3 linked regions of the Mus musculus genome follow. The protein of the gene in region 1 purifies or fractionates together with the protein of each later gene. This does not show direct contact. Links are inferred from orthologs where the notes say so. Each region holds a gene or a part of one and is shown in the gene's direction. Other genes may lie near its edges.

Region 1 (4,236 bases):
CCTGCTGGTTGCCTTCTCCTCTGGCTCCAGTGCAGCATTCCTAACCTTTGGTTCTCTTCCCCTGCCAGGGCCAGACAATATGCCAAACAGATATTGCTTGCACAGTGGGTGAAACAAACTCCGGCCTCCCAGGAGGTGAAGTCTGCCGGACTGAGGAGGGGCCTGGGAAGAGGGTGTAACAGGCCCAAGGAGGGCTGTAGTGACACTCTACCAAGGAGGGAGTAAGGGTGTGCCTGGGGCTGGCAGTGCTCCTGAGATGGCTTCAGAGGCGCTTTCACCAGAGGCACTGGTGACTCACCGGCTTCTCCCACACCCAGTCCCCTAGTAGGTGGTGTTGCTCCGTTTGTTGAATGAATGTTAAGATTCACTAGGAAAATTCTTAAGGACTAGTTGCAGTAGGAAGAGGCCAGAGGTCTGGGTGAACTATCCTCAGCTAGGGGCTCTAACCAAATCAGTGCACCAGGAACCCGGCAGCAGAGAAAAGTCTCCCTCTCCACGTCATCCAGCCAGGCTAGTCCAGCTACAGTAGCATCACACAGCCTTTGAGTACACACCCCCTAGGGAGCGAAGACCAAAGAAGCATTTGCTGGACAGTTCCACCTGGGCAGGATCACCTCATCAGTCTGCTCACCAATAGACACTTTCCCCGTGGTCCTTCAGTTCCCCAAGTTCCCCAAGTTTCGTATCCCCAGGGGCCCAGAGAGAAACTAGGAGTGGAAGAAGCAGCCGTGCACGAGCGGACTCGACTAATTGCTGAGGCCCACAAACGCGCAGCCCGAGATGGAGAAGCTCAGAGAGCTGAGGGCAGCTGCACCCACTGGGGTAGCACCCCTGTAAGACCCAGCGCGGATCCAGGGAAAAAGCGGCCCGGATGATGGTGTCACCCGGGCATCAGGAAGCACTTACGTTCGCTGCCATGGTGGGCTTGGTTCGCTGCCGCCGTCTTGCTCTATTCCGCTAGGAATTGGGCTGACGACCGGAACGCAGAATACGGTGACCTCCTGTCTGCCACAGAGCTGCAAGACTTCTCGTGGAATCCAGGACCTGGCGGGACGCAGGACAAAAGTTACCGCCCTGCCTAAGCCTCAAGTTGTCTGCGCGTGCGCATCTTAAGGGCTGCTGGGAAATGTAGTCCGACGTCTGACACGTTCGCCACAAAATTACAAACCACTGTATTTCACTGGTGCGCGTGCGCGCTGCAAGATTTCTGGGAAATGTAGTATCGGTCTAGTTGGAGAGGCGCAAGGGCTGCTGGTCAGTGTAGTTTTCGACTGAGAAGCGGTTCTGGTGCTTAGGACGCGCGGAGGCAGGCGCGCGGCGGGCAGGCCTGGAGGGGGCGGGTCTGTGCGGGCCTCAGTGCCACCCGCCAGGCCTGAGAAGCGGCGAGGGAGGTCACGGCGAGAAGGTGTATCCGCTCCAGCCGCGCCCGCTGCCTCTGCGAGCTGCAGAGGACTGTCGGGAACAACCATGTCCTACTGCCGGCAGGAAGGTGAGTCGGGCGCTGCCATGGAGACCGGCCGGGACGGGCCTGCGAGAGACACGCGATCAAGTGGTCTCCACCGAGCGGCTGTGGGCCCTTTAGTGGGCCTCACGCGGCGGTTTCCAGACGAGAGAGGCAGAGGCTCCGTGAGGAACGAGGCCGGTCCAAGGTCAAGGTGAAGCCCGAACCCGGGCCTCGGAGGGCCTCACGTGGGCCTGGCCAGTGTGGAGCACGTTGTCTCTGGCTGGGAATCGGGGACTGTTAGGAATTAGACACCGTCGCTCCTAGCACTCCCCACGTGGTTCTATCCCGCCCAGGCTTTTTAGCTATCCCGAAAAATTACCGCTTGGGCTAGAGTGGGCGTGCTGAAGTGCATCTGGCAGGAGCATTTAGTGAGCGCCTTCTGTGTACTAGGCACGCTTTTAAACTTAACGTAGCCATTTTTATATGTCGGGTTCCCTTACTGTCCACGTCTTATCAAACGGAAAATTAAGACAGGTTACTCGATCCAGGAACCCACATCAGGTCACGAAACCGGGACCCGCTATGAAAGAGCTTCCTTTCTTCCGTCATTTCTAGCCACGTTGAGGACCACTCACTACCTGTTGTTACCTGTAAGCAGCAACCCAGAAGAATCCAGACCAATCTGTTGCTCTAAGGTCTCCCAGCACTGACTGGCTTCTTATGTCTGAGCTGCCAAACCCGCCAGGCCCTAGTTTCCACTCCTGTAAATTGAGAGATCAGGCGTCATTTACTCTGGTATTCACGAAGCACGTGCCCAAGGCAGGAAAGAGTTGGAGGGCTCTTGAGAATACAAAGCTACAGAGAGACTTGGTTCACCCAGAATTCTCAGCTCCTTTACTCTTAAGTCTAGAGAACATGAGGTACAAAGGAGGAAGTGATCCACCCAAGGCCATACATCCAGTTAGAAGGCCCCAGTCCGCTGTAGAACCCCCTCCTTCCCAGCATCATCATTGGTGCCTCTCCCGAGGACTGTTTCTGTTGGTTAGCACTTGGTGTTCCGCATACGAAAGTCCTTGACCCAGCACTGTTAGGCGGATTCCTAGGATGACTTTTGTTTCCTCCAACCTAGTTGGTAGGTTGATGACGAGTCTTTGAGTTAAGGAGGCTATGCAGATAAACATTTCTACCCCTCTTGATGGATTTACAGACCTCGGGTTTTTCAGGAAGGAGGATGGGTCCATCAGCTGCTAATGCAACATAGAGCCCGTCTTCTTCCTGGTTCAAAAGGTGTGTGTGTATGTGTTTAGTGGTTCTCCGTTTTTGAGACAGTCTCAGTATGTGCCCCTAACTCAAATTCTTCTCTTCGTCCCAAATTCTGGAATTAAAAACACATGCCGCTACCTACAGTCTCTGTGAGTTCAAGGCCAGTGTAAAATAAATTGCATGTTCCAGGCCTGCCAGAGCTACATAGTGAGATCCTGTCCAAAAACAAACCAAAAAATAGTATGTAAGGACTTAGGAGACCATGCGGTGTTATTCTTCCAGTCTCATGTTCTTCCTCCTGCTCCTCAGCTCTTCTGGCTGTGCCCTTTGTCAGGTGCTTTCTTCCTCCAGCTCTCTGAATTGCTAACTTATCCTTTAAGAACCAGCCCAAAGCCGGGCGTGGTGGCACATGCCTTTAATCCCTCACTTGGAAAGCAGAGGTGTGTGGAGTCCTCTGAGTTCTAGGACAGCCAGAGCTATTTTACAGGGAAAACCCTGTCTCAGGAAAAAAAAAAAAAAAAAAAAAAAAAAAAAAAAAAAAAAAAACAAGAGAAATGGGCAGGAGACATGGCTCAGTGGTTAAAAGCACTGACTGCTCTTCCAAAGGTCCTGAGTTCAATTCCCAGCAACCGCATGGTGGCTCACAACCATCTATAATAGAATCTGATGCCCTCTTCTGGTGTGTCTGAAGACAGCTACAATGTACTCATATAAATAAATAAATCTTTTTAAAAGAGAAAGAAAACAAGCAAAAAACCCAGCTTCAATGCCACCAGGTCTTCCCTGATACTTTGTGTCTCTATAAACACACTGAAATTATCTCCCACCAAGCTGAGAGATGGCAGAAGGCCTAGTATACTGTGGGTGTTCAGGATTTAATAGAGTGACCCCAGGCTCATGCCTATCCACCATTCTAATTAGGCAAATGGTTGCCTGGACAGTTATGTCAACAGTCCATACATCTAGTCAGTCTCCAGGTTAAAGACCTCATTGACATTAAGAGAGTCCCACCGTGTGGATGAAGCCTCAGTCTGGCCTTGTGCTCTTGGTGTTTCTGTCAATTCCACACATGGTTCCTTACTTTCCTCCTAATAATAAACAGCCTGCCTCTTTCTGTTCATTCAGCAAACTTTTTTTATTGCAGTGTGATGTGCACTGAGTGAGGTGGCACTTTGGATCTTTACAGAACAAGAAGAAGTTGGCATTAAAGCACTCCGGGATGGATGGGTAGTTACAGACAGCAGGAACTGTGCTGAGACACTGAGGTTCTGCAGGGGTTGCCAGGGCTTGGAAGACCATTTCAGATGCTCTTTCCTCAAACCCTTCCCAGTCTTCAGACCAGGAGAGAATGAACACTGGCTTCTTAGAGCCACCTTTTGCCTCAGGTTTCACTTGGTCTTGAGTTCCTAATCTTTCCTCTACCTCTTTTAGGACTTGTGCGGGCTACTGTGCCTCCTTTATTTAGTGCAGGGATCAAACTTGGACTTTTGTGAGCATGCTCAGCCAGCATACTACAGACTGGGTGATGG
Region 2 (3,378 bases), on another chromosome or scaffold:
CCTGATGCAGGGTGGTTGTCACGGCCTCAGCACAAACCCGCTCCAGCAGACTGAGCCTATGCCTAGAAAAGATCCCCGCTCATGGAGAACCCACAACACACATCTGTCCCTTACCTAGGAGGGCTCTCCCCATAAAGATACTGCACACACACCCTATGCCTATGTCCAGGACAGTATAAACGTGATGAACAATAATCCCTGGTTACAAGTATGGGCAAAAAAGACATCGCCAGTTAGTCTATAAGCTCTATTGAGAGGTCTTTTGAATTCAGGACTAATGAAGCTTGCAGAGAAACCGCAGCATGGTTAGGAAGCAGTACTCACAGGACCTGGCTCAGCTGGTTGAACTGCTCCAGTGCCTGCCGGCACCAGCACTGCTGCTTGTCACTGCCACATCCTGCGCACAGAGGACTCTGCAAAAGTCGGTAGTACCTGCGGCGGGCATACCGGCTATCTAGCTCACCCTCTAGTTCCGGGTCTGTGCCCCCTTCTCCTTTTCTCTTGCTCTGCATATAGACTCTCAAGAAACGACCATAGAGGCGCTGGACCATCTCCTGGAATGTCCTAGGGGTGGAAAAAAACAGGACTCCCCGCAACATAGTGTGAACTTTCTCCCGAAGCCCCTGAGCTCCAGCGCCCATCAGCAAGCCCAGACGAGTCCATTTCTCTAGGAGTTCTAGGCTATGCAGATAGGGATCCAAGCGGCTTTCCAGCAGACCGAACGCATCCAGGAGCAGCCCAAGGCACTGGGGCTCATCGACAGAGTTTTCTCGCAGAGCGATGGCATTCCAGAACTCCGTGGCAATATTGCCTTGAAGGTCGTTCTGCAGCACTTCCACGAACCACTCCTCCAGGACAGAGTGCAGACCGTGTCCCCTCAGAACCTCCACCGCTGCACGAAGCTCTTCCTCCTTTGGTGGGACTGCACCGCTGGTCCGGGAAGACGCCTGGAGCACGGAAAACCGTGAGCAGAGGGGCGGAATAGGGGTAAAGGGAGAGGAGGGGCATGGAAAAACCCAGCAACCGAAGAGCTGCCAGGGAACCAAACAAATCAGGTAGCTGAGGAAGGAGGCAAGCCCACTACAGGCAGGCCACGGAGCTGTGAGGCCCCAAGGGTGGACCCCCTAAAGTATGCAAAGTCGCGGGAAATCTGCACAGGCCCGACAACCTTTCCCCGGCCTCACCAGCCCCAGCGCGGCCGGCGGCACCAGACCGGTGCTCACAGTATTCCAGGCAACCAAGAGCTCCTGTCCAGGCCTAGAGTCGCAGTCATCGGAGGCAATAATTGTCGCCGCCGCCGCCGCCGCCGCCGCCGCCGCCGCCACCGCCACACCCTCGGCCTCCATCACTGTCCACAAAACAGACCCGCCCAGTAGAGCGCACGGTGATGACGCAAGCGCGGACCTGTGGCGCAGCCGTGACGTTCACCAGCCCGCGCGCTTTGTGGGCAGTGCGCAGGTGCGGACTTAGCTGTGCAGGCGGCGGTTGAGGCTTCCGGACGCGGTGCAGACCATGACCCAACAGGGCGCGGCGCTGCAGAACTACAACAACGAGTTGGTCAAGTGTGAGCGTCGGGCACTGAAGGCCGCGGGCCGGGGCCGGCCGACCCACTCGGGAGGCTGCGTGGACATGCCTCACGAGCCCCGCTCTGCGGCCTGCCCCTCTGTCATTGCTGGTTGGGGTCGGAAGCTCACGAGTCCCCACCCACAGCTCTGTCTTCCCACCCACCCTAGGCATCGAGGAGTTGTGTCAGAAGCGAGAGGAGCTGTGCCGGCAGATCCAGCAAGAGGAGGACGAAAAGCAGCGGCTACAGAATGAGGTGAGGCAGCTCACGGAGAAGTTGGCCCGCGTCAACGAGAACCTGGCGCGCAAGATCGCCTCTCGCAACGAGTTTGACCGGACCATCGCAGAAACCGAGGCCGCCTACCTCAAGGTGGGGCTCTCAGATGTCTGTTGTGAGTGCCTTACTACCATCTGAGGCTAGGTAGGGCCCATTGTGGTTCAGAGGCTGTAGGTGGAACAGTGGGCTGTCTGTGGGTTCCAAAAGTGAGCATTGGTGTATTGGACAGAGTACACGGTGTGGGCCTGAATTAACCCAGCCTGGCTTTGCAGGGTGGAAGAGCTCTGGGACAGGTGCAGAAGGGAGGATGGTTTTACTCCATAACCAGTTGGCTACAGCACAGATGACCAAATTGAGATTTCCATCCTCCATTATTAGAGCCTGAGGCAATGGGACCTTCCTACCAGAGAAATAACATCCTTTTATTTCTCTGGCCCCAGATCCTGGAGAGCTCTCAGACTCTGCTTAGTGTACTCAAAAGAGAAGCTGGGAACCTGACTAAAGCCACAGCTTCAGACCAGAAGAGTAGTGGAGGCAAGGACAGCTGACGAGTGCCTGTTTCAGCCGTGGCCTATGGCTGCTTAGTCCTCAACATGTCTGTCCTAAAGCATCTTTGTTCTTCGTGGCCTCAGATGTCTTTTATCTCTGGTGCCCAGAGGGGCAATTTCTGACCTCCACCTGCCTAGACAAGAAAAGCCCTAGGACAGTCCAATGGAAGAGGTGTTCCCAGCTCCGTACTCACATGTGCTGTGGGGACCCTGAGCAGCTCCATGAGGGGCCTCTCTCTGAAGCTCCTGAATCCCTTTGGGCTACCAGGAATGTCCTGGTCCTGGTCTGAGTACTGTGGGAGCCCCTCACTTTGTCTCCCCAGCCACTAGGGCCCCAGGCCAGACATGTTGAAGAAAGAATCTTGACTCCAGAACCAAAACCTTAGGGCCCATCCCCATGGCCTCTGGTGTTTCAATAAAGGTTGTTTTGCAAGATCTGTGTCTGCTAGCTACCATATATCCTGTTGGTAAGAAGACCTGCAGTTTTTCCCTTTCTTATCTTCAAAACACAAAATGCTGAAAGTACTCACCTCACACAGGTCAGCCCTAGCCCTTAACTCTCTTTGCAAAGGTGCTGGTGTTTTCCCCAAGTCCAGAACACAAACCACTTTTCTGTGAGGGGCTTTGCTCTACGATGGTGCTCAATACAGAACCTGGCTCAGAGATAGAGACAGGGACAGTAAGTTCTGTTTGGTCCAATCTGCTGCTGCTGCTGTTAGGACCCATCTTCCAACCACATGTGTTGCTTACTTACTATTTCCATGTGCCCTATGACCCAGCCCTTTGTCACAGCTTCTGGGGAAAGTTTGGAAGTATTTGGTGACCAAAAAGATCCAGAAAACAGCTGTGGTAGTTTACACCTGTCATCCTTCGTTGAGGAAGAAGGATCGCCTTAAAATCAAGGCCATTCATGTCTGCATAGTAAACTGTAAACCAGACTGGGACATAGTATGAAACCCTTTCTTAAACAACAAAAAAAGTACCTATAAA
Region 3 (4,305 bases), on another chromosome or scaffold:
CTCTAAACTTTAACATCCTTATTTTTTCTTTGAAAAAGCCACTCATAAAACTACTTTATAAGTACTTTTAATTACAAAACAAAGCACATGCCAATTATCCAATAATCTTTGTAACCTCTCATTTTCTCTGATTGACCAATTATGTATAGAACCTCTTCACTTTCTTTTTCATGTATCCTTCAAACCAGAGTTTAACAAGCCAGCACCCAGGTGTCTTTAGTCATCTGTTGCACACACTGCCTTATGAGCTTAGAATATAAACACTACAAAAATTTATATCCTTTCACTGCTGTACATCTATTAAAGAATTTTTGTGATTGTTGACTGTGTAAATAGGCACTTTACAAACAAAGCATTACTGGAAAAGACACAAGCCAAACATTACCAAGTTATCAGTACTTCTCAGCGTTTTGTAGAAAAAAAAAAGCCACACCCAGTTTTCAGGCTACCACGAATGAGTATCACTTTCGTTTTTCCTTAAGTTTTGTTTTCTAAAAAAGTGCTACCAAGTGTGGTGGCCCACACCCTTAATCCTAGCGTTTGGGGAGCAGCGGCAGGTTGATCTCTGTGAGGCTGAGGCCAGTCTAGTCTACAGTTCCAGGACAGGCAGAGATCACCCTCCCTCCCTCCTTTCACTCACTTACACACACACACACACACACACACACATCTTTAAAAAAAGGGCAGCTGTCTCCTTATGGCTCCCCTTCTTTGTAGTTAATAAACAATGCTAAATGAAGCTCCAAACATGACTCTTGAGTCATCTGTGTTGCTGACCAAATTTATAGACTATTTGTGAAAATTCTAGTAACTGGGAATTTGTCTAAGTTTGAGTAACAACTTAAGGTCATTATTTAAAATACTGGAAAAAGGCAAATACTTTTAAGTTTTTTTTCAAAATCACTGTTATGTGGCTTCCAAATAAAAACTCAAAATCGATTTTTTTTTTTTTTAGGGCTAGGGTATAGCTTATTGGTATACCATTCACGTGAAAATTCAAGAATATGGTTGATATGGCTACGACTCAAAAATGGAAACACACCCCAAGAGTGTAACTAAACACAATTTTAAAGGGTCAACAGGTGAATAAAAATTTTAAACTGGGTAAAAGCAATTTCATAAAGGTCCATGAAACTATAATTTTCGCCATAAGATGACATGCAGAATTGCCTTTCTGATCATTTCTCCTCCCAGGGACATTTGAAAAGGAGTGGCCAAAGTAGCAGGGGAACTGCGCAACAGCTTGGGATCAAGGACTGAAACTTGCCCTTTCCCAAAGCCTCTGGGAGCCAGGACCAGCGCCCCCGGTGGTGGGCAACTGGCCATCAGCAGCTTGGCACAGGCCACTTGTCCTACCACCTCCTGGTCGCCCCCACCTTTCCCTCCAAGGCCAAGGACAGAGACGTCCTCCTCCCCCTTCTCCTCCTCTTTGGTGCCTTCAGCCAGGAGGCGGGAGTGACCCGCAGCAGCTGACCCAGCTCGGGCACTGCCTCTCCGACAGCCCTCAGGACACACCATGGGCCTGGAGGCTGGTTGGTGGCACACGAGCGAGGACGCAGGCGGCGGCCCCGGCGACTCTCAACTGCCTCCCTGACCACTGCGACAACCTCCCCGAAGCCATCGCCACTACCCGCAGCGGAATCTATCTGCGGCCAATCTATCGCCACGAACCGACTACCAGCTACGTAAACAACTATGGCGGGAGAAAGGTGGCAGGCCGAGGGGCCCGGAGAAGGTTGGGCCATCTACGTCACACCCAGAGCCCCCATCCGGGAGGGAAGGCGGAGGCTCGACCCGCGAAATGGCGACAGCAGTGACGCGCCTGCGTACGGAGCTCACCCGTCGCGCCGCGGACGACGGGAAGTGAGGTTTTCAGAGGAGCCGGCAGAAGTGTACGGCGACTTCGAGCCCCGGGCGGCCAAAGAAAGGTCTCCGGGGGGGAGACGAACCCCGCCAGAAAAGTTCCGGCCGGCTTCTGCGGGAGAGGAAGTGAGAGAAAGCGCTTACAACCTTCGCTCTCGACCACGGAGGCAGCGGCGAGCCCAGGAAGCCGAGGAGATGAAGACGCGGAGGTCTGCTCGCCTTGAGCAGCACTCACAGCAGCCGCAGCTGTCTCCGGCCACGAGCGGCCGAGGGTTACGGGACTCTCCGTCCTCCAGTGAGGACCGCGAAGGTAACAGTCTCGGCTGCGGGCTCGGGAGCGCGCGCGGCGGCGGGCACGCGGCGGCAGGCGCGCCCCCGTGGAGGCCGGCCCCGCTCCGGCCCCGCCTGGGTCCTGGTGATTTCTGCGGCCCTTTGGGCGCGCACTCCCGGATTGAGTCCACCCGGACCCTCAAGAGGGAAGGACGCAGTGGGCCGCGCGGGAAGGTGGTGGTGCGAAGTGACCCGAGCGGAGGCGGGCAGCTCTGCCTAGTCCTGGAGCTTCAGTTTGGGGGGTCTAGGTCTCCTCTTTCTGTAGGCTTTTGCTAGAGGTCGGCGGCTAAGCCATTGTCGGAGCCCCAAACTACTCTGCGCTCGGTTTCATTTCCGTCCTCTGAAGTTTCTACTGAAGCCACTTCCATTTCCTTTTTTTTTTTTTTTTTTTTTTTTTTAAATCTCGGGGGCCCCAAGTCCCCAGCTGAAAATCCTGTTTTTAAGTTAACTTTCCAGTCGGTTTCTTTCGTTTTTTTTTTTTTTCACCAAGATTGGGAAAACGAGATCATTTCTAGGCGGATGCTACGAGGAGTAGCTGACTTTAATGAATGGGTTGGTGACATTACTCCAAATACAGAGTCTGGTCTCTGCCAGACTTTCCCCCCAGATTGGAGGCCATCACGGTAATCTTAAGTAGCTAAACAAGTCAAGACTGACAAACTACTGAAACAAAACAAGGTTCTATTTATTAGTAAAGCTTATATATGAAGCCCCAGATGCCAACAGGGTGTGTACTATAGTTTTAGTTAAGTCACACAGATGAACCAAATTCTTCAAGCCATCCTCTTATTCCCTGCACTCGGATATAACTGAGTCACAGGTGGTTCCAGTAAGCCCCATGTCAGTCACCTAATTATGAGGTAAAATTCTGAGGGTTAGAGTCACAGTGGGATGGCCTCCCTAATACATTTGATGCATCTGAACAGGAGTGGATTTAAAGCTTAGAGCACAGTAAACTGGCTTGCAGATTTACCTACTTGCCCTTAAAGTCCTGACACACTTGAAGATCTGTTCATTTGGGAAACTTTATGCTAGAGATGTGCATGCTCTTTTGGATGTAAGGAGACAGTTTATTTGCTTATACATGTCAGCATTTCTTTTAAGATGGCAAAGTTGGGAGAAAAAAAAAGGAACCTGTCACGCATGTATGCCTGGTCGAAATTTAGGTACTTGTGTTAATTCTGTCTCAGAAACTGAGACAGTGTTTGCACATGGGAGGCAATGTAACTGTTACTTTTTATTGACTTTCCCACAGAGCCTCCTGCACCTAAATTCAGTTTACCTTTTATACATTTTTAGAGGATTTAAACATTTCTTTTACCTGACTCTTGAACCTACCTTTTAATTTTTTATATTTTCTTTATTTACATTTCAAATGTTATCCCCTTTCCTCATTTCCCCTCCGAAAACTCCCCTATATCCCCCCCCCCCCCCAACCAATCCAATCCCTCTCCCTGGCCCTGGCATTCCCCTACACTGGGGCATAGAGCCTTCACAGGACCAAGGGCCTAACCTTTTAACTTGCTAAAGTAGCATTTTTGTCGTAAAGCAACAAGTAGTGGTTTGTATGTTGTTTCACTTCCATGGTTTGCAGCTGCACGTACCTGTGTGAGTATGTGCACGTGAGTACAGGTAGCCTTGGAAGCCAGAAGATGGTGTTGGGTCCCTTGGAGCTGAAGCTACAGAATATCGTAAGCCTTTTGGACTTCGGAAGTCCTCGGAAAGAGCAGCAAATGCCCGTAAACACTGAACTCTCCCCAGCCCTCATCATACTCTGTCTTAATAGGATTTCTAACTGGTTTAATTCCCAAGTTTTGAACCTAGAGAAGTTGAATACTTGCATCTCTCTGTATAGATTACTGGTAAATATGCATACTGTGTGCCATGGTCTCTCCCAGGTCATCTAACTTGAATTTTACCTCTTGTTGGTGCTGTAGAGGATGAACCTTCTTCCCGACCTGTTACAAGCCAAACAGCCTCAAAGAAAACTCTTAGAACACCAGAGGCTTCAGGTAAGAAGAGTTTGGTCTTTTGGTTTTCTCTTTTCCTGCCAAAGACTCATGAAGAATCACAGCTCAAGCTGGGCGTGGTGGCATATGACTGTAATCCCAG

Evidence for each region. The genes of interacting proteins can lie anywhere in the genome.
Region 2: the proteins of Chchd4 (region 1) and Ssna1 purify together in Homo sapiens (co-immunoprecipitation; 3 studies listed by BioGRID and IntAct, with this or other methods). This does not show direct contact. The link is inferred for Mus musculus from reciprocal best matches to the Homo sapiens genes CHCHD4 and SSNA1.
Region 3: the proteins of Chchd4 (region 1) and Tor1aip1 purify together in Homo sapiens (co-immunoprecipitation; 3 studies listed by BioGRID and IntAct, with this or other methods). This does not show direct contact. The link is inferred for Mus musculus from reciprocal best matches to the Homo sapiens genes CHCHD4 and TOR1AIP1.

The regions. Positions count from the first base shown.
Region 1 is NC_000072.6:91,470,569-91,474,804, reverse strand, and holds the start of Chchd4 (mitochondrial intermembrane space import and assembly protein 40), read left to right. Parts: upstream 1-1,381; 5' UTR 1,382-1,467; coding exon 1,468-1,489; intron 1,490-4,236. Other genes in the region: Tmem43 (transmembrane protein 43), read right to left, coding at 907-918.
Region 2 is NC_000068.7:25,270,484-25,273,861, reverse strand, and holds Ssna1 (Sjoegren syndrome nuclear autoantigen 1 homolog), read left to right. Parts: upstream 1-1,443; 5' UTR 1,444-1,512; coding exon 1,513-1,564; intron 1,565-1,733; coding exon 1,734-1,933; intron 1,934-2,280; coding exon 2,281-2,388; 3' UTR 2,389-2,823; downstream 2,824-3,378. Other genes in the region: Anapc2 (anaphase-promoting complex subunit 2), read right to left, coding at 1-62, 325-947, 1,185-1,346. UniProt on the Homo sapiens protein: Microtubule-binding protein which stabilizes dynamic microtubules by slowing growth and shrinkage at both plus and minus ends and serves as a sensor of microtubule damage, protecting microtubules from the microtubule-severing enzyme SPAST.
Region 3 is NC_000067.6:156,033,626-156,037,930, reverse strand, and holds the start of Tor1aip1 (torsin-1A-interacting protein 1), read left to right. Parts: upstream 1-1,450; 5' UTR 1,451-1,695; coding exon 1,696-2,173; exon of another isoform or gene 2,174-2,267; intron 2,268-2,723; exon of another isoform or gene 2,724-2,741; coding exon of another isoform or gene 2,742-2,745; intron 2,746-3,113; exon of another isoform or gene 3,114-3,250; intron 3,251-4,130; coding exon 4,131-4,205; intron 4,206-4,305. UniProt on the Homo sapiens protein: Required for nuclear membrane integrity. Induces TOR1A and TOR1B ATPase activity and is required for their location on the nuclear membrane. Binds to A- and B-type lamins. Possible role in membrane attachment and assembly of the nuclear lamina.